3 linked regions of the Arabidopsis thaliana genome follow. The protein of the gene in region 3 interacts with the protein of the main gene of each other region in a pairwise test. Each region holds a gene or a part of one and is shown on either strand. Other genes may lie near its edges.

What was found.
Region 1: the proteins of AT5G51780 (region 3) and AT5G50915 interact in a two-hybrid assay, tested with the Arabidopsis thaliana proteins (one large-scale study listed by BioGRID).
Region 2: the proteins of AT5G51780 (region 3) and AT3G61950 interact in a two-hybrid assay, tested with the Arabidopsis thaliana proteins (one large-scale study listed by BioGRID).

Annotation. Positions count from the first base shown.
Region 1 is NC_003076.8:20,708,040-20,716,203, forward strand, and holds AT5G50915 (basic helix-loop-helix (bHLH) DNA-binding superfamily protein), read right to left. Parts: upstream 4,426-8,164; 5' UTR 4,214-4,425; coding exon 3,884-4,213; intron 3,789-3,883; coding exon 3,663-3,788; intron 3,554-3,662; coding exon 3,488-3,553; intron 3,379-3,487; coding exon 3,310-3,378; intron 3,219-3,309; coding exon 3,135-3,218; intron 3,029-3,134; coding exon 2,918-3,028; coding exon of another isoform or gene 2,897-2,917; exon of another isoform or gene 2,800-2,896; coding exon 2,725-2,799; 3' UTR 2,686-2,724; exon of another isoform or gene 2,552-2,685; 3' UTR 2,064-2,551; downstream 1-2,063. Other genes in the region: AT5G50910 (uncharacterized protein), read right to left, coding at 370-498, 1,022-1,243; CLPC1 (CLPC homologue 1), read right to left, coding at 7,671-8,164.
Region 2 is NC_003074.8:22,935,306-22,943,146, reverse strand, and holds AT3G61950 (basic helix-loop-helix (bHLH) DNA-binding superfamily protein), read right to left. Parts: upstream 3,760-7,841; 5' UTR 3,487-3,759; coding exon 3,454-3,486; intron 3,343-3,453; exon of another isoform or gene 3,037-3,342; coding exon 2,443-3,036; coding exon of another isoform or gene 2,419-2,442; exon of another isoform or gene 2,371-2,418; coding exon 2,002-2,370; coding exon of another isoform or gene 1,951-2,001; exon of another isoform or gene 1,896-1,950; coding exon 1,815-1,895; 3' UTR 1,665-1,814; downstream 1-1,664. Other genes in the region: AT3G61960 (Protein kinase superfamily protein), read left to right, coding at 45-361, 431-689, 766-836, 993-1,181; MTPA1 (Cation efflux family protein), read right to left, coding at 4,698-5,702; AT3G61930 (uncharacterized protein), read right to left, coding at 7,222-7,551.
Region 3 is NC_003076.8:21,031,052-21,038,916, reverse strand, and holds AT5G51780 (basic helix-loop-helix (bHLH) DNA-binding superfamily protein), read right to left. Parts: upstream 4,292-7,865; 5' UTR 4,108-4,291; coding exon 3,937-4,107; intron 3,697-3,936; coding exon 3,340-3,696; intron 2,537-3,339; coding exon 2,471-2,536; 3' UTR 2,144-2,470; downstream 1-2,143. Other genes in the region: AT5G51770 (Protein kinase superfamily protein), read right to left, coding at 5,923-7,865.

The sequences.
Region 1 (8,164 bases), 320 kb from region 3:
CATCGAAAATGGATTGATCTAAAATGAAAAAAAAAAACGAAAAAGAAGAAGATGATTACACCGACGATGCTTGATACAATCATACAACATTCATCTTGTTATCGATTCAGTGTGTGTACGGCAACTAGCCTACTGCAAACGCAGCGAATGTTCTCCATATAAAACCAGTGAAATTTTGGTGTTAAAATTAGGTTTACGAAATCAAGTTTTTAATGAATCGTTTACCATTTCCATAGAATATTTGTTAAAATCGATCCGTTGTTATAACAAAGAGTCAAAGACTATCGGTAAAATATATAAGAGTAGCTACTAGCTAGTTAAGGTTTGTTTGGTACTCAATTCTTATGGGCCTATAAGTAAACTGAAATATTAGTCTTTGTTGCTCATTGTTGTTAATGGGCTTTCTAAAGTGTGTGCTTGGTCTACTTTCTTGATAACCCAACTGATAAAGACTGAACCTGCTTCTAAACCAGTAACAATAGTTGGTCGACTAGTATACTGATAGAAAATAATAATTTTAAGCTTAAATATGACCTAGTATCAGTGTTTCTTCAACTTCAAAACTTTTGATGATGTTATTTTGGTTAATAAGGTTGTATTTTCTAGAACTACTACGTCATTATATATCTATACGTATTTACATTTTCATCGTCCTATAGAGTTTACTTGTTCACTTACCATTCACTACTTTGAGAGGGATAGAAGAATGGCAATTTCAACAGCCATCTTGGCTAGCTACTATCTTTATAGTTTTTGTAATGGAAGAATGATTCATGTACACGTGGAAATGAAGTTAGGTACATGAAAACAAACAAAGAAAAAGAGTGTAATAGAAGAGATGGGACTAGACATAGACATGAAAATCTCTGGACGACTAACGGCCGGACTGCTCATTTAATCATGCCTTCGAATTGTTGCTTTTTTTTTTTTTTTGGCTGTATTAGTTGTGTAATAATGTACAACATTTTTTCTCACCTAGGCGTGTTATCAAATTGAATCGTGGACCCTTCGGTTAACTTACCAATCGTTCTCGCATAAAACGTGTCATCAGATATTTAGGGTTTGATTTTGATAGGTTTGATGATGCGAAGAATCGAAACGCACAGTTAAAGTTATAAGAGGTATACTTTGAAATAAACATATGAGGTGAAATGATGTGCATAAGATTTACGAAATGTGTTGTCCATTGATTCAGGATGAAACCGTTAGCAGATACAATTATGTGCCACGAGAAACTTAGCATTTCCTTTGTTATTGTATTTTATGATTGATCAATTTGCCGTATAATAACTTGGGACCAAATTCATATGCATTTTCGATTAAAAAAAAAAAAAAAAATCGTATTCATGACGAAACAATTGCAAGAAAATGATGACCCAATTCATCTAGCAACATATCATATTTATAATAATAAAAAAGGGAAAAAGTGAAAATTTTGAACCATAGTCCAATAACAAATCTTAGAAGAGATGATATCAATTAAATTTTACTTATTTAACTAAAATCTCAAATTGTTGAATTGTGAAGAGTAATCTCACAAATCATATACATCCTGACATATACATCAAGAAATGAAAATCATACAAAAAAATCTCTATTCTAGGTTCGTTAATAAAAGAGGTTATTAATATGTATGTAACTGAATAACGATAATATACATAAGGCTCTTGCATATAATTTATTTAGGTGTATTCAAATAAATCCTGCAATTTAGGATTGAATAACTCAAGGAATCGTTAATTACCACCTCATGAAAATGTTAGACAACCAACAAATCATATTTACAAATACAACAGTATCAAATATCTCTTTCAAGAATTTTGGTATATATATATTAGACATACTCTAAACTAAAATAAAACTTATAACATATGTATTGTGAAAGGACAGATACAGAGGAATGGGAGTTATCAATGTGTGACAAGTGAGAGCAGAAAAGCATGACCAAACTATTCAACAGGTACATTAAAGTGTTCTCAGGAAGGGAAATCTAATCTTTTCTTCTGACATAATTTTGTAGCCAACTAAATTGACAGGAAACGAATCATTTAGATTTATATACATGCATAAGTAGTTATCCCTCGAACATTTTTATATATATAGGAAATATAACATGAGTGTGTGGATAACAGTTTACATTTAAAAAGATTGGAGGAAAAAGGAAACTTTGGTGCAAGAAATCAGAAAGACAGAAGTGGTGAAAATACAAGAACTTATAAAATTAATGAGTGGATACATCAAAATTCAATTATATTAAAAAAAACAATGATTAAGCTGATAGGTCTTCTTAGTTTATATGTCTTTCTTTCCTCCATCGAATTTGCCTCTGCCTCATATACCATTCTCTTTTAGTATGAATTTATCCATTGATTTTATGTAATGATTATGTTGAAACTCTCGGGACAAATAGAGAAAATGAGCTTTTTAAGTCTCTAAAATACTTTATTTCTTCAAACTATATAAACGGAACAAATAAGTACATCCACTTTTACAAAACCTGGTTTACGTAGATTTTATTCCCTCCGTGCAAATGGGAGGAGATTAAATCAACCTACATCCAATAAACGATAGCAATAATTACGAACCCACATCAAGATTTTTAACAATTTCTATATGAGAAATGTTAAAAATAATTGTAATGATAATAATTAGGTAGTTGAAGAGACAAGACCAGAAGAAACTCACGAAAGCAGGCTTTTGTGTTTGTGTCGACATGTAATTTTATCAAGGGAAAGAACAGAAGTTGTTGTTGTTGAACCCACTTCTGTCTACAAAGTTCTCTCTTTCTTCTCCCTCTTCCTAAATTAAGCAACACATCACTATCTATTAATCTTCCAATAATTGATTCTTATCTATCTTCATTCTCCTTATTATAATTATTATCTGAAATAATCACTTATAGAAAAAAATGAAAAACCTGAACTTGTGCATGTGTGGGAACTACAGAATTATCCAATAGTGAAGGAAAGATAGGAGTAGTTGTTGGCATTGCATTGGTAAAAGACGTTCCTACTTCTGGAGAACCCATCTGTCCATCAAGAAAATATCTACTTAAGATCCATAACCGGCTTTTCGGGATACATGACTTGGTTTTATCGGTAACCGGATTAAGAGACATTGTGTAAATGAAATACCTCAGATTGAAGTATGAGGCCATCAAGGTCGGAGCCAAAGTCATAGACCACCGGACTTATAGAAGTTAGCTTCATTGAGAGAAACTAATGAAACAGAAAAAAAAGTTATGAATTAGAAACATTAGTTTTAACATAAAATGTTACAAGAAAAAACAAAATAATTAAGAAAATGCACCTCAACTTGAGTCTGCAAGGTCTGGACATAATTTATAATCTCATCCAACATGAGGGCCTTCCCTGTTACCTATTCGTTTTCAAGTCACATTTAATCAATTAATAACATTTTCTAGAAACATTATAAAATTAAACCATTATCAATTCTCCTAAATAAAATTGTCTCTACTCTAGCTGACCTTATCACAGCCCGGAACAAGGTTTTGCAGAGTCCTCATCCGCTCACTTATCTTTTCCCTTCTCACCTTTACATATATATATATATAAGTTTAATCAAATATTAATCAAAATGTATTTTATGAAAACATGATTAATGAAGAAAAATTAAAATGTTAAGAGAAATGACTAAAATACCCTCTCAGCAAGGCTGTGGCTATCAGTAGCTTGGCCTCTTCTAGCTCGAACGTGAATGTAATCTGTTGGAGGCTCTTCTTTGCTTCCTCTCTTCTGTTTTTTGCTTTTTCTTCCCTCTACTCCTTCCTAATTCACCAAACCACACCAACATTTATGTTTTTGACTATCCCAACCCCATCACATAAATGATAGATGATACATTACAAGTTGGTTTAACATACCTTGGAGTTATTACTGTTTCTGGCCTTCCTCCCACGGGTTTTTCCGGTGTTGGTGATGGCTGATGGTCCGTGGCTGAGCTGGTCGCAGGAAGAAGAACCGGTGGTTGCTGTTTTGGTTGTGTTGGCCAGTTTCTCTGAACCAGAGTTTTCAGTTTTGTCAACATTATATTCAAGAAAGGAAATGTCTTCAACTGTGGAAATGTTTGGTAGTGGATAGAGATGGTTTTGATCGATGAAACTAGTGAGATTAATGGAGGAGTGAGGTGTAGGGAAGAGAAGAGGATCAAGAAGGGAATGAGGGTAGTTTTGGAAATAAGAGAAAGTTGCCATTTTAAGAGTAGAAGCTTCTGAGTTCTCTTATCTTTGTCGATAGAGATAGTGTTTTTTCTTTGTGAGAGAAGATTAAGGACTTGAAGTGGTTTATATAAGGAATTGCTTTTGTATTCACTATTCAAAGAAACAAGGAGAAACAGAAGAAAGAGTATTTTAGGGACCACTTGTATATTGAAGATACCTTTTTATTTGAGAAGAAATTACTACCATATTTCGGCGGGTAATTTATGTTAGATGATATGTTTATATATAATATCGAGATTGTATATTTAAGTAATTGCATTGAGTAACCATGGAAGAGTAAAAATGAAAATTTAAGTAAATAATGTTGAATTTCAAAAATTAGGTGACTAATGATCTTTCATCATTCTTAGATACGTATGTTCTCTTTTTTTTTTTTTTTCAAATGCAAACTCATGGAATATTTGTCTATTTATTTTGTTTAGTTTTATTACTCTATGGGTATCATGATATTTTAGAAAATTTGTTTCAAATTACTTTATGTAAGAACTTATAATTTTAAATTTTGTTGTAATTTGTATTCTCCATAGTTTTATGTTATTTAGAGAATAAATTATGTTTTGAAATATAAGATTATAAATACTACATAATTTGTAATACAACCATGTTGTAAAACTAAACAAGACAAATACTGATCAATATATCATTTAATTAAGACTTTTTTTATAAGAATATAATAGCGCATAACGTGAAAACAATAAATGTACTATAAAAAGAAGTAATCAACTAAACCCATTAAATGAACGAAAGAACGACCAACGTGGGCAGTCGAACTCGAGGAAAATGTTCTCTAAAACCAATTGATGTATTTGTATTGACCATCAACTACACTCACGTAAGCATTCAATATTGTCGCCCTAACAACGAACTATATTTAGAAATGCCCTAAAGCTATGGCTTGTTTTACTTTATAAGAGGGTCGGACCTATAATACACATATCAAAAAAGTTAATGTACACCAAAAGAGCAATATTTATCATTTATCAATCAATTTTACTTTATCAGATTGCAGAACCTTTGCCACAGCTAATATATAGATCAATATATAGGCACAGTTTAACGAGTCAGATATAATTAAAGACTAGATAGTAGAGAGATATATTACCCTATCCAAAATACTGTACATTTAGAACTAAATATGTAATGCCGCGTGATCTTCTCAATAATAATCTCTATGTGGATACCATAATACTACAAACTTTTGTCCATTTTTGTTAGAGAAAATAAAAACTTTTGTCCATTTCCCACTTTGGATCGACATAGGAAATTTCCTTTTCAGAAAAGGACAAAAGAAAAAAAATTGTGAATAAGGTGTGAAGTCCAATCCCATGATACCGTTGGGTATGCATAGAAGACAAAAAATCATAAATCTCCATTTTGTTTTGATATAATCGGGTACTCTTATAGTAATAATCGAAAAAACGAGTACTTGACCATCAAAATTTATCACAATCCATGTCCTTAATTATTTAGACTATTATAATTCCTTTCTTCTATTTATAAATTATTATTATGACACGTACTTAACAAAAACATTAAGCGAATCTACGATTAATTAATTATCAATTGTATACGTACGAATACGATCTATGGACTTTCTATTATGATTTTCTTTTTGAGATCAAGTTTAGAGCAGAAAGAAAACATGCTAATTAGGAACCAAGAAAACATTATGATTGTTCTTTTGGACATAATTTACATGTCAAAGGTCCGCATGAGCTTGTAATTAATTATCATAACCCGAAGATGATAGAGATTATGCACGTTTCATCCGGATGAGGAATAAACATTTATTGGCATCATATTTTCTTCACCAATATCTCTCTTTTGCTTCTTTTCAAATCAGGGTACTTGCACAAAACCTTTATTCTTTATCTAACGCATTTAATTAGCGGCTGATCTATTATTTGTACTGTGTTTTGAATATTCAAGATCACATTTAAAGAAAAGAATAAGTGCACGAGACTAATTACGAAAGGATGATATGAAAATGAATCTTGAATTACGAGATAGATTAGGTACATTACTTCACTCTAAGAAATTGACTCAAAGTTTTCTTCTACCATCCTATATCCCAAAACATTACTTACAAATGCAAAGAAACAACTTCCATTTTACGGCGTTTTCTGGCCGATAAGTCTAGTGAATTATGTGACGATTGTAAGATATATGAAGTAAGTTAGGTTGATCTCATAACTGTTATAGATCTCTATTAATCACTTCGTTTATTTAGCTTAATCTCATTATATTTGTTATTCAAATATGTTGCATCTCTATATGTTTTCTTCTCTATTATCAAAACAGTTTTATGTCCTTCTACCATATTATTTCCATTTTGTTTAGTGAAGTATTGATTTTCTCTACTAAGAAGAATACAAATAAATCAACCTGGCAATAGACTAATTAACGTACGGTTACGTCTACGAAATAGATATTCATAGAAGTCTCTATCCGCATGATACGAGAGATAACCTTTTACTCACATATCATCGCCTACAATGCAATAAAATAGTAACAAAGAGAAAAAAATTCTAATTAAAAATTGATGAGTTTTGTGATGGTACGACTCTCCTTTTGTTTTTTATCTATTCAATTTACGAATCTATGCAAAATCTCCGAAGATTTAATAGTACCTGTGCAAACTGGCACTAGCTATGTTCCAATATGTGACATCGCTTTCTTCTACACTAATACCAAATTCAACATGAAACGTTTTATCTTAATCCTATGTTATATCAATTTCAGTGTTCCTTATTATATTTAAAGGAACTCAAAGATATTACGTCAAAATGTAATTAGATTATTATAAGTTTTTATATGGTTTTACAAGGTTTGTAAAGTCTTATATACAGACTATAAAGTGATTTTTTTGAAAAGCTTTTCTCTTAATAGTAGTTTTGAAAAGCAGTATCATATTTTTCAAAATTCCTATTGTTTATTCACGGATAACCTAATGATGTGTAGATTAGGTTAAAAATGTGGACAATATGAAGAACATTCAAAGAATTAGTTCATGTGAGCTTTTGTTGGTTTAGGATTTGGTAGTAGCTAGTCGGTTCCATATGCTTTTATTGGTTTTCTTCAATTCTCTTACTTCTTCACGTCATATATTTGACCTTGTTATGTTTGATTGATTCCATGTGTATTATCCTACACTTTAGTTTATTTTTTGGGTTATGAAATCCTAAACTCTTTTGACGTCGAACCCCAACATAAAAACTCCTCTTTGCATGGGCACCAAAGACAAGTCCTTAAAAAGCATGGAAGAAAAAGAAGCTACACAATGTCATCTATACATTACATTTTTCATATATTTAGAAAATGTATATTAAGAAAGCCCCCATGTATCTCAATTCATAACCTTCTCTTGCCATAATTCATTTAAGGGCCAAAGCAAAAGAAGAGAGAAACGCACGCACTTTGCTTTTTTTATTTAAGCAACAGGGAGAGAATCTTCCTGCTCCTCCAAGGAAGTAGTTGGAGTGCCACTTCCACCATTTAGCACCGTGACGTTACCTTCAGCGTCAACGTCCACAATCACCGAGTCTCCTTCTTTGATCTCTCTCGCAAGCATCTTCTCTGCCATACTATCCTCTAAAAGCCTCATGATGGCTCTTCTCAACGGTCTTGCTCCATAGCTCGGGTTATAACCTTCGTCTACTACTCTCTCTTTGAATCTTTCGGTCACCTGAAGCTCAATCTCTTTCTTCTTCAACCTCTCGAACACTTCCTTCAACAGTATGTCAGCAATTTCTTTCACTTCCAGCTTTGTTAGCTGTCTGAACACAATCATCTCGTCTAGCCTGTTTAGGAACTCGGGTCTGAAGTATTGTTTCAGCTCCTCTGTTACAAGGCTCTTGATTCTGTTGTAACTGCTGTCTTTCTCGTCGTAGTCTAAGTCGAATCCGATACGTCTTCCTCCTTTCT
Region 2 (7,841 bases), on a different chromosome or scaffold from region 3:
TAAGATCGTATTACTCACATACTCTTGCTATGTCATTCGTGCAGTTGTTGATTCACTCGAGCTCATAGAGAGAGAGTATGTTCTTGTAAACCGTCCTTCTGCCTCGCTGGAAGGTTCATCAGATTGTTTCGACACATCATTGCAAGATTCCGGTTTTCCTAATATCTTACCAAGGAATGAAAAAGTTTCATCGAGTTCACTTGAAGCACAGAAACCATTATCTGATGTGTCAGGTCCACGACCAGCAAGCGTTTCATATCTGCTAACAGAAGTACAACGCTTAACGATTGTCCATCCTCCAACTAAACTCCAACTTTTGCATCAGTATGCACAAGCACTTACAGAACTAGCTAGCGAGATGGTAACTTGAACTCCTGAACTCTGGGTTCTTAAATGATAACATTAGAGCTTCTAACACCTTTGCATACAGGGCAATACAGGGCAGGTAAAGGAATCTTTTGCTGTTACGCTCGTCGTTTTAGCTGTCTGGAGAAAAGCCTTAGAGATATGTGATTCTTGGATGATGTCCGTTGGAGAGAATGAAGTGAACCCAGATCCAACCACGGCTCCTGAGACTTCGATTCCAGATTTGAATTCACCTGCACCAGCTAAAACGTGGGTGACACAAGAGTTTGTTACCGCGTTAAACCAAGCCGAGAATTTATCAACTCAACTAAACGAAACAAGTGGTTAGTACCTAACCGAGCAATTCTCTGTTATGCTTCTTTGAGATTATCTGAAGGCATCTCCTGCGTTTCATTACAGCTGCCACTCATATGCCTGACGCCATGGAAACAATATACGAGAGGGCACTAGCATATGGCAAGAGTGGTGGGGTAAGTACAAAGTTTCCATCTTTTTCGCTTATGTTTTTACCATTTGGTTCTAAAGTCTGAAAGTTTTATGAAAAGCTTCTTTCTACCTTTCTATCTACTGATTTGTCCTAAAAGTCTGAAACATAGTGGGTTGATCCATTTGTATTTGTTTTTCAGGCTGAAGAATATTTGAGTAACAAAGAAAGTGCAGCAACATTATACAAGAAAGCAATTCTTCTACTCTCCTTTATAATCGAGGAAGCAGTGACTCTATCTCTAAACCCCTCTTTCTCATTAACCCCTGACGACAAGAAGCGGATTCTCTACTACATCTCTAACTTACAGCATCGTCGGTCTCATCTTTAGCGAAAATAGACCGCGGGCATTGTATATAAGAAACTTTCCTGGCTCTGCTTGGGTCAAGTCTATAACATTTGTGGCTTTTCCTTATATTCTCTTGAAATTTCGAAATGGTTACTCTATATTGTTGATGCTGTGACCAAAAAGTATTTGCCTCCCTCATTGTATAGTGCCAATATCAATAATAGCTTAAAATACCAAAGATGCAAACTTTGTTGGTGCACAAACTCTCCCGTGTGAAGCTCGAGGAGGATCACTCCAAAGGCGAAAGCTCTAAACGTCCCATTTGGAAACGAGAAGTCTGGTACACGACATCCCATTGACAATGATCGTAAAGTCAACACTTAAAATAGGGACAAAAGTCAAACCATGATTGATGAAATAATAAAGACGAATAAGATCAAACTTTTAATAAGATGGGACCCAATCTCACAAAACACCCAAAGCCTGAACAATAATAATCGAACAATCCAATAATATACGAACAAAACAGAATTTAATTCTGTCAGTAGGAAAATGAAAGAACGAAAAACGAAATTTTTTTATTCTCTTAATTCTTAAAAAATTGGTACAAGTAGGAAAAAAAAAAAAGATACCATTTTGTCAGCTGTTAATATTTTTGGAATTATATGTGTTTAATCAAATTGTCGGAATATCGAAAATCCGATGAACAGCCGCCGTAATCTCGTCGGCTGACTCTAAGTCGCACTCATCTTCCATCTGCTCCGACACAATTGAAAAAAAAAACAAGATTTTTTAATTAAAGATTCAATTTTCAATGTTGGGTTTTTGTTGATTGAAGTAAAAAATGGAAAGTAGTGTTTACCTTGAGGTTGAAGGAATAAGAAACAGAGGAATGAGACGAAGTAGTGATATTGAGATGAAGAACAGTGAGTTTAAGCTTTTCAAGTGATATGATTCCTTTGAGAAGTTGTCCTTGTTTCTTCTCACATTGAACTTTAAGGCTGACATGGTTTTGTATCACTGTAGCTTCGATTTTGGGGATACAAGTTTGATCTTCAAGAGTTGTCCACAGGTCGTTCGACGAAATGCCTGAGAGATGATTAAGTGCGTTTTCTACTACCTCACTGTTACTTTGTTGTTGCGTTCTCTTTTGCGATTCGAGAGATTGTATGATTTGCTCGAGGACCTTCACGTAGTTTATTGCTCCTCCTACTATGGAAGCTTGGTCTCCCTGCAGGACAACATTTGATAAGGTTTTGATGATTAAAGGTTGAAACTTTCATGTATGCTTTTGGTTATTTACTCGTTGGATGTAGGAAGGTGGGAGAAGGGCCCGGAGAGAGTTGATATGTTCGTTCATTTGACGTCTTCTGTTTCGTTCAACAGCAATGTGGTTTATTCTTTGATTCTCAATCTCTTCATTGTTTTTACTTGGTTTTGTTTTCCTCCTCTTTCTCTTTTCTCTAGTCATTTCTTGAGGCAGCAAGTGGTTGATTTTGCGCTTTCGTCTTGAATGTGCACTGAGTGGTGATGAGGTAGAAGAAGGGAGTGTCATGTTTGCTTGGCTAAAGGGAATTTCTTGGCTTGACACAGCTTGATTGGCTCCTTCCATGAAGCGGTTGGTCTCAGATTGGACCGGTGAATGAAATTGTGAATCCTCAAGTGAAAGATATCTTTCGAGTTCCCAAGGCTCCTTGAGGGTTTGAAGAGACAGTAGCGTCAGAAAGTTTGGCTCTTTGATTGAAAAAAACGATGAGGGGTCTTCACTTTGCAGCATCTGTAGAAATGGAACTGTATCTTGTAAGCTTTCTTCCTCTTTTTCTTTGAAAGCAAAGCTTTGAGCCTCTGCAAATCCTTGAACCTCGAGGCTTCTCACATCCGGTTTTCGATCGAAGAACTGTAAAAATGACAGAGGAATGAGATTAGCCGGTGAGACGCAAATGATTGAAAGAGAAGTGTAATTTAGTTCTACTGTGGGTTAGTTTGGTTCTTAGTACAGAGATAAGCAAAAAAATAGAAAGGAAAATGGAATGTTTTCAAAGAAAGGGAAGCAAAAATGATTGTAGAATTGTTACTGTTTTCTCTAAAACAAACAACAAAAGCATTAAATGCACAGTATCTGGACTAATTAGGAATTGTTACTGTTTTCTCTAAAACAAACAACAAAAGCATTAAATGCACAGTATCTGGACTAATTAGGAATGAGTAAATGCAAGTCCATGTCTCTGAGTATGGAAAAAAATGATTCAAGGGAAGAGAGAAAGATTGAAGAAAGAGAGTTAAAAGTTTTCTAAATCAAGCAAAAGATACATACACAGGGGTTGATGTGTCCTTGAAACCTTTCCATTTGAGAGCTCTTGTTTGGTATGTAATGTAATGAAAAGAAGATGAGTGAGTAATAATAAATGCTAAGAATCACCAAAGAGGCAGAAGAGGAAACTCATGTACTCTCTTCTGATTCTGAGCTTTTATGGACTTGTAACTGTTAGCTTTATATAGAACAGTGAGTCTTTAGTAAAGCTATTGAGTAGAGTGGAAACAGAGGAGCTGTAAAAAACAGAGAGGTAATAAGATAGATGTATTTGGGTACTGTAAGAGTTGGTGAGGCTGAGCAGAGCAGATGAGAGAGAGATATTATTGGTGGAAGCAGTTTTGTCTTGAAGTGGAGACAGACTTTGTGGGGACAGTTCTAAATTACACAGAAGAAGAAGGTAAAAAAGAGACATGTCATGGGTAAGAGAGCTTCTTCCTTTGGGTTTGTGTCATCTTTCTCATGATGTCTCAATCATCCTTTCTTCACTATTCCCATACCACACCATTCCTTTTCTTCAAGGCTCAAAAAGCTAAAACTTTATACAGATACCATGTTGCATTTGCATGCATCCATCATGTTCTAATGATTCGAACCTTTAATAGATGTAAGGTTTCTAAAGTGTGGGATTTTGTTTATTACTTTGCAATCAAACATATCTTGATTACAATTAAAAGAAAAAGGTTGACTCTAAATGCCTTGGCTGCTACGGCATTAAACAGTGTTTGTCCTATAAAAATGTCCCAACATGTCCACAAGCTCAATCCAAACGGGTAACTTCATATCCGGTCTCACAAAATTTGAGCAAAGAAACAAAACATTCGTGCTTTGCATGGTTATTGGTTAACGAAGACCTTAGAAACCTTATCAACACATCAAAACTCCAAAGAAAGTTGAATCTTTGTTTATCAATTGTGTACTGGATATGGTTGTTAACTGTCACACACGAGCTATGGTTACTTGCTCTTAGGACAAACATGCCCCACTCTTTTTGGTAGGTCTATTATCAAAGATAAACCCTAAAGATTCTGATTTTTCTTTAGTAGTAACTTAACACAAATCCCTAATCTCAAATAAAGTTATGTCCTTTTAATTACCTTTTTCAAGACAAGACAACTTATTCATAAACAAGAAAGACAATGGCATATGTCACAACAAGGTAATGAGAGCATACGAGAAAGCGAAAAAAGATTTAACTTTGATCATGAAAATGACAGAAAACCAGAGAAATGAACCCTTTTGTTGTTTTAACGCTCGATTTGTATCGTAACGTGACTGATACGATACTCTCTCCAGATGTAATCGATCACTTTGTTCAGCACCATTTCATCACCAGCTTCTGGTCTAACCTTGACATGACAAGAAAACAGAGCTTTTCCAACTGTAATTGCCCATATGTGCAGCTCATGAACATCCACAACTTCCTCAATTTCCATCAATCCCTTTTCGAGCTGCCTCGCGTCTATCTCTCTCGGTGTGCTCTCCATTAGAACTTCAAGTATGCTTCGAAGCATCTTAATGGTTGTCCCTAAAACAATAACTGAAAAGAATAACGTGCATATCAAGTCAATTACTTTCCATTTAGGGTTATACCAAATCATACCCCCTCCAATCATTACCCCAATGCTCTGAATTAAATCCCCAAGAACATGAAGATAAGCCCCTTGCACATTAATGTTCCTTATTTCCTTGGATTTCTCCAACAACTGCTCAGCTCTTTCCCCATAACTATGACCATGATCATGACTGTGACCATGATCATGCCCATGTCCGTGATCATGTCCAAGCACAACAATCATTATGATGTTTACAACTAAACCAAAAGCAGCAACAAGAACCATAAAGAAACCATCAACATCATCATTGGTCTCTTGAACGAGTCTAGTTACGGCTTCGTAGACCAAAATCCCAGTGAGTAACCAAATGAGCTGGATTGAGACAAGAGTGCCTAAAATCTCTATCCTGAAGAACCCATAACTCTGTCGCGGATTTGCTTCCCAAGAAGAAGCCCACAAGGAGAGCATAGAGATAGCAAAAGCACCAACATCAGTGAGCAAATGAGCTGCATCTGCTAATATAGCCAAACTGTTAGCCTTAATGCCACAAACAACTTCTATGCTCATGAACAAAAGACATAACACCACAACGAAACAGAGCTTTCGCATTGAAGCAGCTCGTTTCTTAGCATCACTTGAAGATGTTGAAAACCCACAAGCTGTTTCTCCACAAACTTTACTTCTTCTTGAATCCATCTGCAGCAAAAAAGATTGTAACTTTAGAGCATGAATCAATATTCAATGGGTTCTATACGCAATCCTATGAATACAGTATATAGATTTGATACCTTACAACAAGATAGTAGAAACTCAATTCAGGAGTAAGGTGTTAGAGTTTGAGACTTGAAGGAGATTTTTAAAGGTGGAAAAAACAGAGACATGCATCCCACAACTACACAAGGATGCGAGCAAACCAAAAATTCACATTAAATGATATGACAACATACTCATACCATAACAGAGAGTCAAACCTCAAATCATATTGTATAACATGTGTAGAAGCATTAGAAAATATATTTAAGTAAAGACCCAATGTAACAATGACGAAATCTAAGCGACATCAGATTCCGATTTGGGCCAATTCTGATATCACACAGAGAGTGGAAAGAATCTTGAAACAAAAGCCAAACTCTCTCTTCATATCGTCTGAATTTCCATTAAAGTTCATAATTTTTTTGTTTTTTTTTGCATAATCTTATTGACGATAGTCCACGAAATTGTTTGTTTTTCAACGAAACAATTGAATCTTTAGGCTGTACAGAATAACAGGCCCATTTTGAAAGTTATATAATGGGCTAATGATAAATGCTAGGCTGACTAAATAAAATAATATACAGAATTACTTCGGCTGCTATGGTTACGAAGAAAATTATTCGGCCTATCTTAGACGTCTCTGACTTTCAACGGGACTCAATTAATTGAAATTTTGAAAAATACAAAAACAAAAAAAAGTACAACATTACATATTGATGGAATGTTAACGTTTGTTTTCTGTAATGATGAATTTGGAAAATTCCAAACGAGAAAATATAAATAAATGGAAACGTCTCGATTCGAACTCTGAATGGAGAATCCAGGTCTGTAAAAAATTTATGTACAAACACACAATAGTCAAATATTATCATAATTCAATTAGGATAACCATAGTAGTTATTTTAAAAATAGAGAAATAAAATATAAAGATTATTAATTATCCTAATTCTGTTTTACATCATTTGGTACAAGAATAAAGAATTTGATCATTTTGAAGCCTTCCGATGGTGCCAAGGAGATCTTAAGAGGCCCAAAGAGAGCAACCAAGCGCAAAAACTTATCTACGTTCCGGAGATTCTATGGGTCGATAAACGACTTGGATGAACCAGATAGTTTTATGGCTCTTAGAATAATTTGAAGTTGTCAATTAGACTTGAAGTTTGTCTTTAAGTTTACCTTTTGAGATGTCCACAATTATGCGATGCTAAAACGCCATCAAAACTCTTATATTTGTTGACGAATAAAAAGTATTGAGATTTACACTTATATCTTTAATTAAATGCGTGACACAAACATACTACTTTTATATATTTTTCTTTTCAATTTTTTGATAACGAAACTCCTTTTTTTTGTTTCTTTAGCCTTACATATAATTGTTGATCTAGAAAACGTTATTAAAGTGTCGTCTATCTAAACTTTAAAACTATATGTATTGAAAGACACATATATATATATTAATGAATTATTCCTCGGTGATGGAACCCAATCTCCGATACACCATGTAACTTCCACGCCGTTGAGATCGAACATCGCCACCGGAGCCAAGAACACTCGCTGGTAAGCGACCTTCCATACATTCTTTAAGAATCAAGAAACCAATCTTACCACCGTCGTCCGATTGATCACCACGACGCGCCAAGTACAAAAGCTCTTCGAGTTGATCTCTTCTCATCCTCACTTTAATCCGCACACTACTTGGACGTTGTTGCGGCGGCTCGTCCACGTGTCTTCCTCTTCCTCCGTCGCCGGAAGCCGGGTGCACAGCGCAGCTTCTCCTAAGAAAATTCCCCATTTCTTGATCTTTCTTGTTTTTCCAAATGCTTGCATTTAATTGATACGTGTATGACTTGTTTCTATATATGACTATGAGAGATTGTTAGGCATTTTCTATAAGCGAAGGCATTTTATATAGGCGTGTGCAATTTGGTTTTCCGGTTTGGGTATTTCGATTTTGCTGTCAAAGTATGTCCAAACGAAACCACAGAAAAAAATGATTTAGTTTGGTTCGATTCGGTTTGAAAATTTTGATTTATTTCGGTTTTAGATAACTATTTCTAATGAAAGTAACTATACATAATTAAC
Region 3 (7,865 bases):
GAAACTTTCAAGGAGATAAAGAGGTTGCTCAAATTAGAAAGTTTGTCGTTGAATTATGTGTGATTTGTTTGACAAAAACACAAAACAACGAAATGATTATGTGTGGTTTCTATTAGTTTTGGCCCAATAAAACTTTATGGTGGCAACAAAGAACATTCGGCAAATAAGAACGTGTACATGTACTCAAATAATATAATCTCATGCAAGAGAAGAGATTATTTATCAATATGTTTGTGAAGATGTTCGCAGTATCAATGAACACACAAATGTTGTCAGTATTATAACCGAACTTTCTAACGCAGTCTAAGCATGAAAATCATATTGTTATAGTATACATTAGAATTGCGGAAAATTACGTACATATCCCATAACAGTTAAATGAAAAAAAAAAGAGAACAAGAATACAAACATCATTTAAAAATATTGGGAATTCACTCTCATTCACTTGGACAGAGAAAATATCTTATCAGTTTCTTTTGTTGTTTTGGCAATTTCGATTGTCATCGGGTAAAACTTCTAGAAACTAACCTCACGATATTTTTCAATCAAAATATGATAAAGATAAATAGTAAAACCAAGGGAGACACATTTAATAATGGGGATAAGCTAAGTGGATAGGATGAGTGAAGTGGAGTGGACATAGTTAAAAGATAGGCCTAGGACAGCTCATGCAACTTCAAGACAAGGTGGAAGAGGAGACAAGAAAGATCCTGGTTATTAATAGATGGAAACCAGCTGTTTCATTTGTCCTAAAATATCCCAGCCTCATTAGCATCTCATGGATCCCACTCTCCCAAATTATTTCGAGCATGCATTATGCCACATGTGAGTTTATGTAGTTATTCATTATAACCTCAAGTTTGATTTTTGTTCTGTGTGTAAGCCGTGTTCAGTTACAAACCAACCACTTATAATAATCTAACAGTATTTTCTAATCAAATTGTTAGAAAGGTAAACAGTAGAACTGCCGTCAAGGAAGACGAATTTGATGTAGTAAGGGACTACTTTTTTTTTTTTTTTTTTTTTTTTAGTATGGGACTACTTAAAGTCTTAAAACAATAGTTTTGATCGGAAACAGAAAATCTAGTCGATTCGTTTTTGGGAGATTTACTCGATAAATCTTTGATTTTGATGATCCTAGTGATAGTTTCTAATAGGTTGAGAGAAAAGAAAATAATAACGATAACTAGAGCTTCCGAGTTGTATAAATACAAGATTCTTATTTATAAATCGAATTTGAATTTAATTTCATAATATTTTAAAATAATTAAAAACAATTATCGGAAAATTCCAAAACATTTCCAACAGATTTTGATTTCCAATGTTGTATATTCGACGGTCGAATTCCGTCAAAAATCTCGAAAATCCATTTCTAACGGTTTTCCCCGTAGGATCTTGCATGTTTAATGTTTTCTTGTTGTATATGTTTAATACATAGTATTTGTTTTCTTTTCATAAAAAGTTCACTTAACCGAATTTGTTTTGAAATTATTAATGAGACTTTAATAATATATTGTCTGGCAATAATTTTATGCTTTTTCAGTTAGGTTTGTTTTGTAAAAGTTCATCATCATGAACATATCGTTGTATATGTCGCCCAAAAAAATAAAACTTTTAAGATATTTTAGTTTTGTGAAACCAAAATGCTAACTAACCGCAAGCATTTTTTTATATAAAAAATTCACAAATGTATTATATTGGAATTTCAATAAAACTTTCACTTGCGTTGCTAGTACAACGTAACTCACTGTACTATACATTTTGATAAAATATAGTATCAGTTTTATAATATCCAAATATTGACCTTTAAAAAGATGGAAAATACTTAGCTGTTCATAATAAGAAACTCATATTTTTATCCTACAAATTAAGATTAAAGCAGATTGAAGCTACAAAAATCTTTATAATACTATATAGTTTGTTTGCTTAATTTTGTATATACTTTAATAGCTGTTTCATATATGCTTCATTTTTTTGTTTGTAAACAGATTCTTATACGAGCACTAATATGTGCAACTTAATGAGTTTAATATATTATAGTCTTGTCTTACAATTATAAATTCTTATTTTGTAAATTTTCGTTGGTTTTTCTTATATATAAATCAGCAGAATACTACCAACTCTTTTTTTTTTTTAATAAACGAATGCTACCAGCTTCAAACACTGCCTAGACACCACTAAAAACTTTAATTTCTTTTTGAAATTGATCAAATAAAATCCCAATCATAGCATATAACCATAAAATATTAAAAAAAACATATAACCATGAAGTACTAACTCAGCTTATGGGAAACATAATTTTCCGATCTATAAACAACTAAATGAGCTAATGACAATCAGATGGAATAAACATAATATACATACAGATAGATGTGAACACGACACAACAATCACAGGTACGAATAAAGTACGTACTTAACTATATATGTCGTTTACTTGACAAGTTAAGAGCAACCTACTCAACAAGAATTTACTTCATTCTGATTAATCTCTTTTCAAGTTCTGCTAAGTCAATCATCAAAGCCATATCGTTGACCTGCAAAACAAAAGAAATTTTCAATATATATACTCAAATGTACCAAACTCTTATGTATAGTAGTATATATACGAAGTATACATCTCTTCATACGAGTAAGATTTTTGCTTTGAAGAAAATTCGAAGACAAAATCAAACAACAGGCACAGTTAATTGATCATTTTGTTCTATAATTGGATATTCCATGCCACCCTCTAACCTGGGACAGAATTATTGAAATACCTTGATAATGCACATGCACCCTCTAACCTCCAGAAATATAATAGTTTTCAAAATTCAATACATACACCATGAGGTGATATATATATTTAAATGCATGAGGGATATAAATTTTAATTACCACATGTGAGAACATTTTCTTGTATATATGGACAGTTGCAATTATGATTTCTTCTTTTCAAATATTTGATGCTTAAGATAGAAAGATATATAAGGTTCCTACTAACGTCCACAATCTGATGGATTCAAATGTCGATAGTATATACATATATTAGCAAAGACCTCAATTCTTTTCTTTTTTTTTGAATCTAAATTGAGATGTTATGAAATTGTGTGTATGTGTATCTTACAACGCAACCACACAAATTCTTGTTTTTACCAACCATTTTTATAAACTACAAACATGAAAACCAAACAAAACGAAAGGTTTATGGAGAACTTTGATTTGCATTTTGTTAAAGAATTTAATGAAAAGTTCGAAATAGAAAGTATTTTTAGAAAAAAATAAAAATATTTTGGAGCAATTGATGTCTATATCGCAGCTGAAATAAGTAACTAAGATTATGAGGGTAGGATAGGTTTACCTCGGCCTGTATGGTGTAAACTAGCCTATCATCAACAATAGAGGAGATGGAGTTAAGAAGGCAGAGACCATATTCACTAAGCACTTGAAGAACACTCGAAAACCGCGGTTGGCCACCGCAGCAGCGGCTACTCAACATGATTTCCACACCAACCAAACACTGACGAACCACCACATGATTTTTCCCACTTATCATCTCCACATCTTCCTTAAAATCACCATTACTACTACCCAATAAACTTCCTCTAGACAGTACCATGAGATCATCTCTCCTCACACTTAGCTCCTTGATCTTCCTCTGTAGATACTTTATGTAGTTCACCGCCTCGTTGACTTGATCTGACGTCGAACGCTTACCCTAGAGAGAGCAAAAGAATCCGCCAAGAAACAAAACAAACCAAGAAAGCAATAGATCTATTTAGGAACCTTTTAAGAAAAACACTATAGTTAAGTAACATCACAAAGTCAAAACACTTGTTACTATATCCCTTTTTCATTTTCTTACATGGAAGACTAAATAAAAGGACAAAGATTAAGTAGATCTAAGAAGTCATGAAGAACCGAAATCAGGATTAGGGTTTTTAGGGGAGTGTGAGACCTTGATGAAGTGAAGAGGGAGAAGAGAACGAAGAGAGGCATAAAGAGAAGCCATTTCTTGTCTCCTTTGCCTCTCAGTTTCTCTGTGCATCATCTTCTCCATGTCGTTATTATCAGTACCACATGTCAGCTTCGTACACCGTCTTCTTCTCTTGTCCCGACAATCATCCATCTGGTGGTCTTAAATTAATAAAAGTAAATATTCCTTTAAAAGATTCTCTACTTCTGATGATGAAGATGAGACAGCAAGATCTGATCTTATGCGGATTTTGTGATCTTAGTCTTTAGAAGAACAGCTCAGGGCTTTGTTGTAAAGTTGAAAAATTATTGCAGTCTTGAAGATTGAGCAAATTAATTTAAAAAAAGATATTTTGATAATATTATTTAATAGAGAGAAGAAGATACGTTGGTTAGTCGTATCGGAAAAAGAATTAAAAATACGTTTGATAGGGTACGCACGCAGTGATGGTCTTCATCAGCTCTTCTTCTATAGTTAATAATATAATCAAATATGTGATGTTCTATTCCGATCGAGATCACATGCTTACTCTTTTCTTATTACCATTCTACATTTTAAGACATCCTCCAAATTCTCAAGATAAACTTTGCACATGCAATTCACTAAAAAACAAAGATTTTAGCGACCAAATTATCCGGTTGGTTAGATGTTATGTAACAAGTATTCGTTTTGTTGAAATTGTTTTAAATATTATCGTCTTTTTAATTAATGCATTAAAATTTTAACAAAATATACTCAAAATGATATATAATCAACGTATTGTTGATGTCAACAAAATTCGTTTGAAAGGCATCAATATTCAATGATATACCGTTTTAAACAGTACGACTGTAATTATTAAGCCATTTCTTACAAGGTGAGGTGGTGGTAATTTTCGTCAATTAGACTTTGGTTTTACAAATCTTTGGCAAAAGGTAGTCGGTATTTCGCATGAACCACACCTATGAGCCCAAAACAGGAAATTAACGCTATAGAGCTTATATATAACTAAAACTTCCACGAAAATCACTTCTTGAAAAAGAATAAACAAACATACAACCTAAAATAAAATACTTGAAAAGTGATTGTTCGTGGTAAATTATGCGATAATTGACACTTTCTTTTTAGTATTTGTATGGTTGGTAGTTGTGGGACAGTAAAGGTTTATACCAGCACGACATTGATATGTTATTTATAGATGGTAAATGTCAGCTAATTTTAACCATACAACTAAAATCGTTATGAAAAACTATACGAACGAAAGATATGTAAACATGGCCAAAAGTTATTTCATATGATTTTATTTCTACCAATATGGTTAAATCGTGTTTTTGAAGCTTTTTGAAAATAATCACCTTACCCCTCCCACCATTATATCCTTTTTCTCTCTTCAAAACTCACTAATGTACATGTTTTTTTTTTTTCTTTTAACTTGGAGGCTTTTTTTTTTTTTTTTTGTCGTAAAAAAATTATATCTTCAAGACCGGCTTTGCCCAAAAGTTAGTGGTTTCATGAATTTATAATGTTAGAAAAAAATTAGAAATATAACGTTCTCCAAAGCCCAATAGACCAATTGTATTTTGATATTCAACAAAGGGCCAGTCCTAACCAAGTGTATAAGACGTAATGACTAGATTAGGGCCACTATAATTTCCTAATAGGCCCAATAACGAGGATCCTGTACAAACATATGACTTTTAGAGATTTCAACAGATTTTTTTATATCAAATCTCAGAATACTCTTCATATGCTGCATCCTTTATGCAAATTCAGCATAAATCTACGAGAAAAACTAGCAAAAATTGATGTTGAGTTTTACAAGAAAATGATCACTAAACTACAATAATTAATCATAATCAGATATACGAAGCTAAAACACCGTTGTGCAAACAAATATAAGTGGCTCAAACACTAAAACATCACTAACAAAGACAGTGTTGTAGGACAAATGCTATAAACCAACACACATCTACCACCAAAGAAACCGCTCTATCGATTCTGCTTCCTTCGTGCCTTGAACGGGAACCGAGTCTGCGGTGATGGTGAGAATTCTGTAGGCAAATCCGGTGGGCTTATCGCTCCTGTAAGCATTTCTAAAACATCTTTCATTGAAGGTCGTGAAACCGGTGATTTTTGCAGACATTGCAAAGCCACCTTAATGCACAAAACCGCTTGTTCTTGGTCTAACAACTGCAGCTTTTCATCCACCAGATCACCGAGTCTCCCTCTTCTCGCCAGCTTCCTCGCCCACGACATGAGATTTGCACGCAGCATGATCTCAGACGCGGGTCCAGTTACTTCCAGCGGCCGCCGTCCTGAAACCAGGACTAACAACAAAACTCCATAGCTATACACATCAGATTTTTCAGACACATCATCTATGTTATTACCACAACACTCAGGAGCAACATAGCACATCGTCCCTCTCATGCTCGGCGTGCTACTGACTCCGCAACTCTTAACTGAATCTTGACTGTTTCTACGCCGTGCTCTCCATTGTTCACCGCTTAGCCCATCTAACCACCAGTCTATGCTACTACCTATACTGTTACTACTAACACCTCTTCTTTTCTTCCTATACACTTCTCCATCCCCGTGCCGCCTTTGATCCACACTTCCACTCACATCATCACTATAAAACTCAGACTCCAAAGTTTTCTTCTTCTTCTTCTTCTTCATTCTCTTAGCAAGCTCTTTCCTATACTCATCTTTCCACCACTCTCTCACCATTCTCCGCTTCTTCTTCTTCCCCTTCTCCTTCTCTTCATCCAACGAAAGCCACCATTCTAATCTCTTACTACTCTTCTTCTTCTCAACTTTCTTACCGCCTTCCGCCGTCTCAGCAATCCAATCACTACTCTGTCTCTCTTCCTTCACCTCAGAACCAATCCATTGCATCACATACTCCTTCCCTTTCCCTCTTCCAACATTCCCTTCTTGCTTCCACCACCAATCTTTACTCCTCACCACATTACCAACCTCCAACACACTTCCTTTCTCCCCCATCTCCGGAGAAACCGATACAACTGTCTCCGGTGACGTCATAGGCACCTGCTCCACCATCTCCGGCGATGAAAGAGGCACCGGAGACTGATCAGTGAATCCAAAGTTAGATTCATCACAACCAGTAGTATTAGTAACAACACTCTCAACTTCTTCAACTACAGAACCATAATCTTCCACTACATCACTCTCAGACACTACTTTAACTTCAACATGTTCAGATTTCAACCTAGCTAAACCAAAATCAGAGATCTTAGCAGAGAAGAATCGATCCAACAATACATTACTAGGTTTCAAATCTCCATGAATCACACAAGGATTCAAGCTATGTAAATGTTCAATCCCTTTAGCTATATCAATCGCAACGAGAAATCTTCGATTCCATATCATAAGCTCAGGAGATCTACGATGAAGAAGAGCATCTTGAAGATTTCCAATATCCATAAGCTCGTATACAAGAATCAAACGGCTTCGTCGTCGTCGAGAGAAGCCAATAACGGAAACTACATGAGGAGAATCAAGCTTACCAGCGAAGAAAAGCTCGTTTTGAAACTCTCTTTCTCCTTGAAGAGAACCTGAATCCATTACTTTAACGGCGACATTACCACCACCGGAGGAAGGAGATAAAGTTCCACGGAATACAGAGCCGAATCCGCCTTGACCTAGTCGATTCTCCGGTGAGAAAGAAGCGGTGGCTTTACGGAGAGATGAGTAGGAGAACTCGTGTAACGGTTGTTTCTGCGGCGGTGTAGAGGAGGAGGCTACGGCGGCGGGAGATCGGCGTTTGCGGTTGAATTTGCAGAAACAGATGGAGAGAGTTATGAAGAGAGAGAAACCTACAGCTGCAAGAGGAGGGAAGATGCGTGTGGTGGTTGTTTCATGGTGAGGTGTGACGGAGGAAGAGAACGGTGAATTTACCGGTGCCGGCG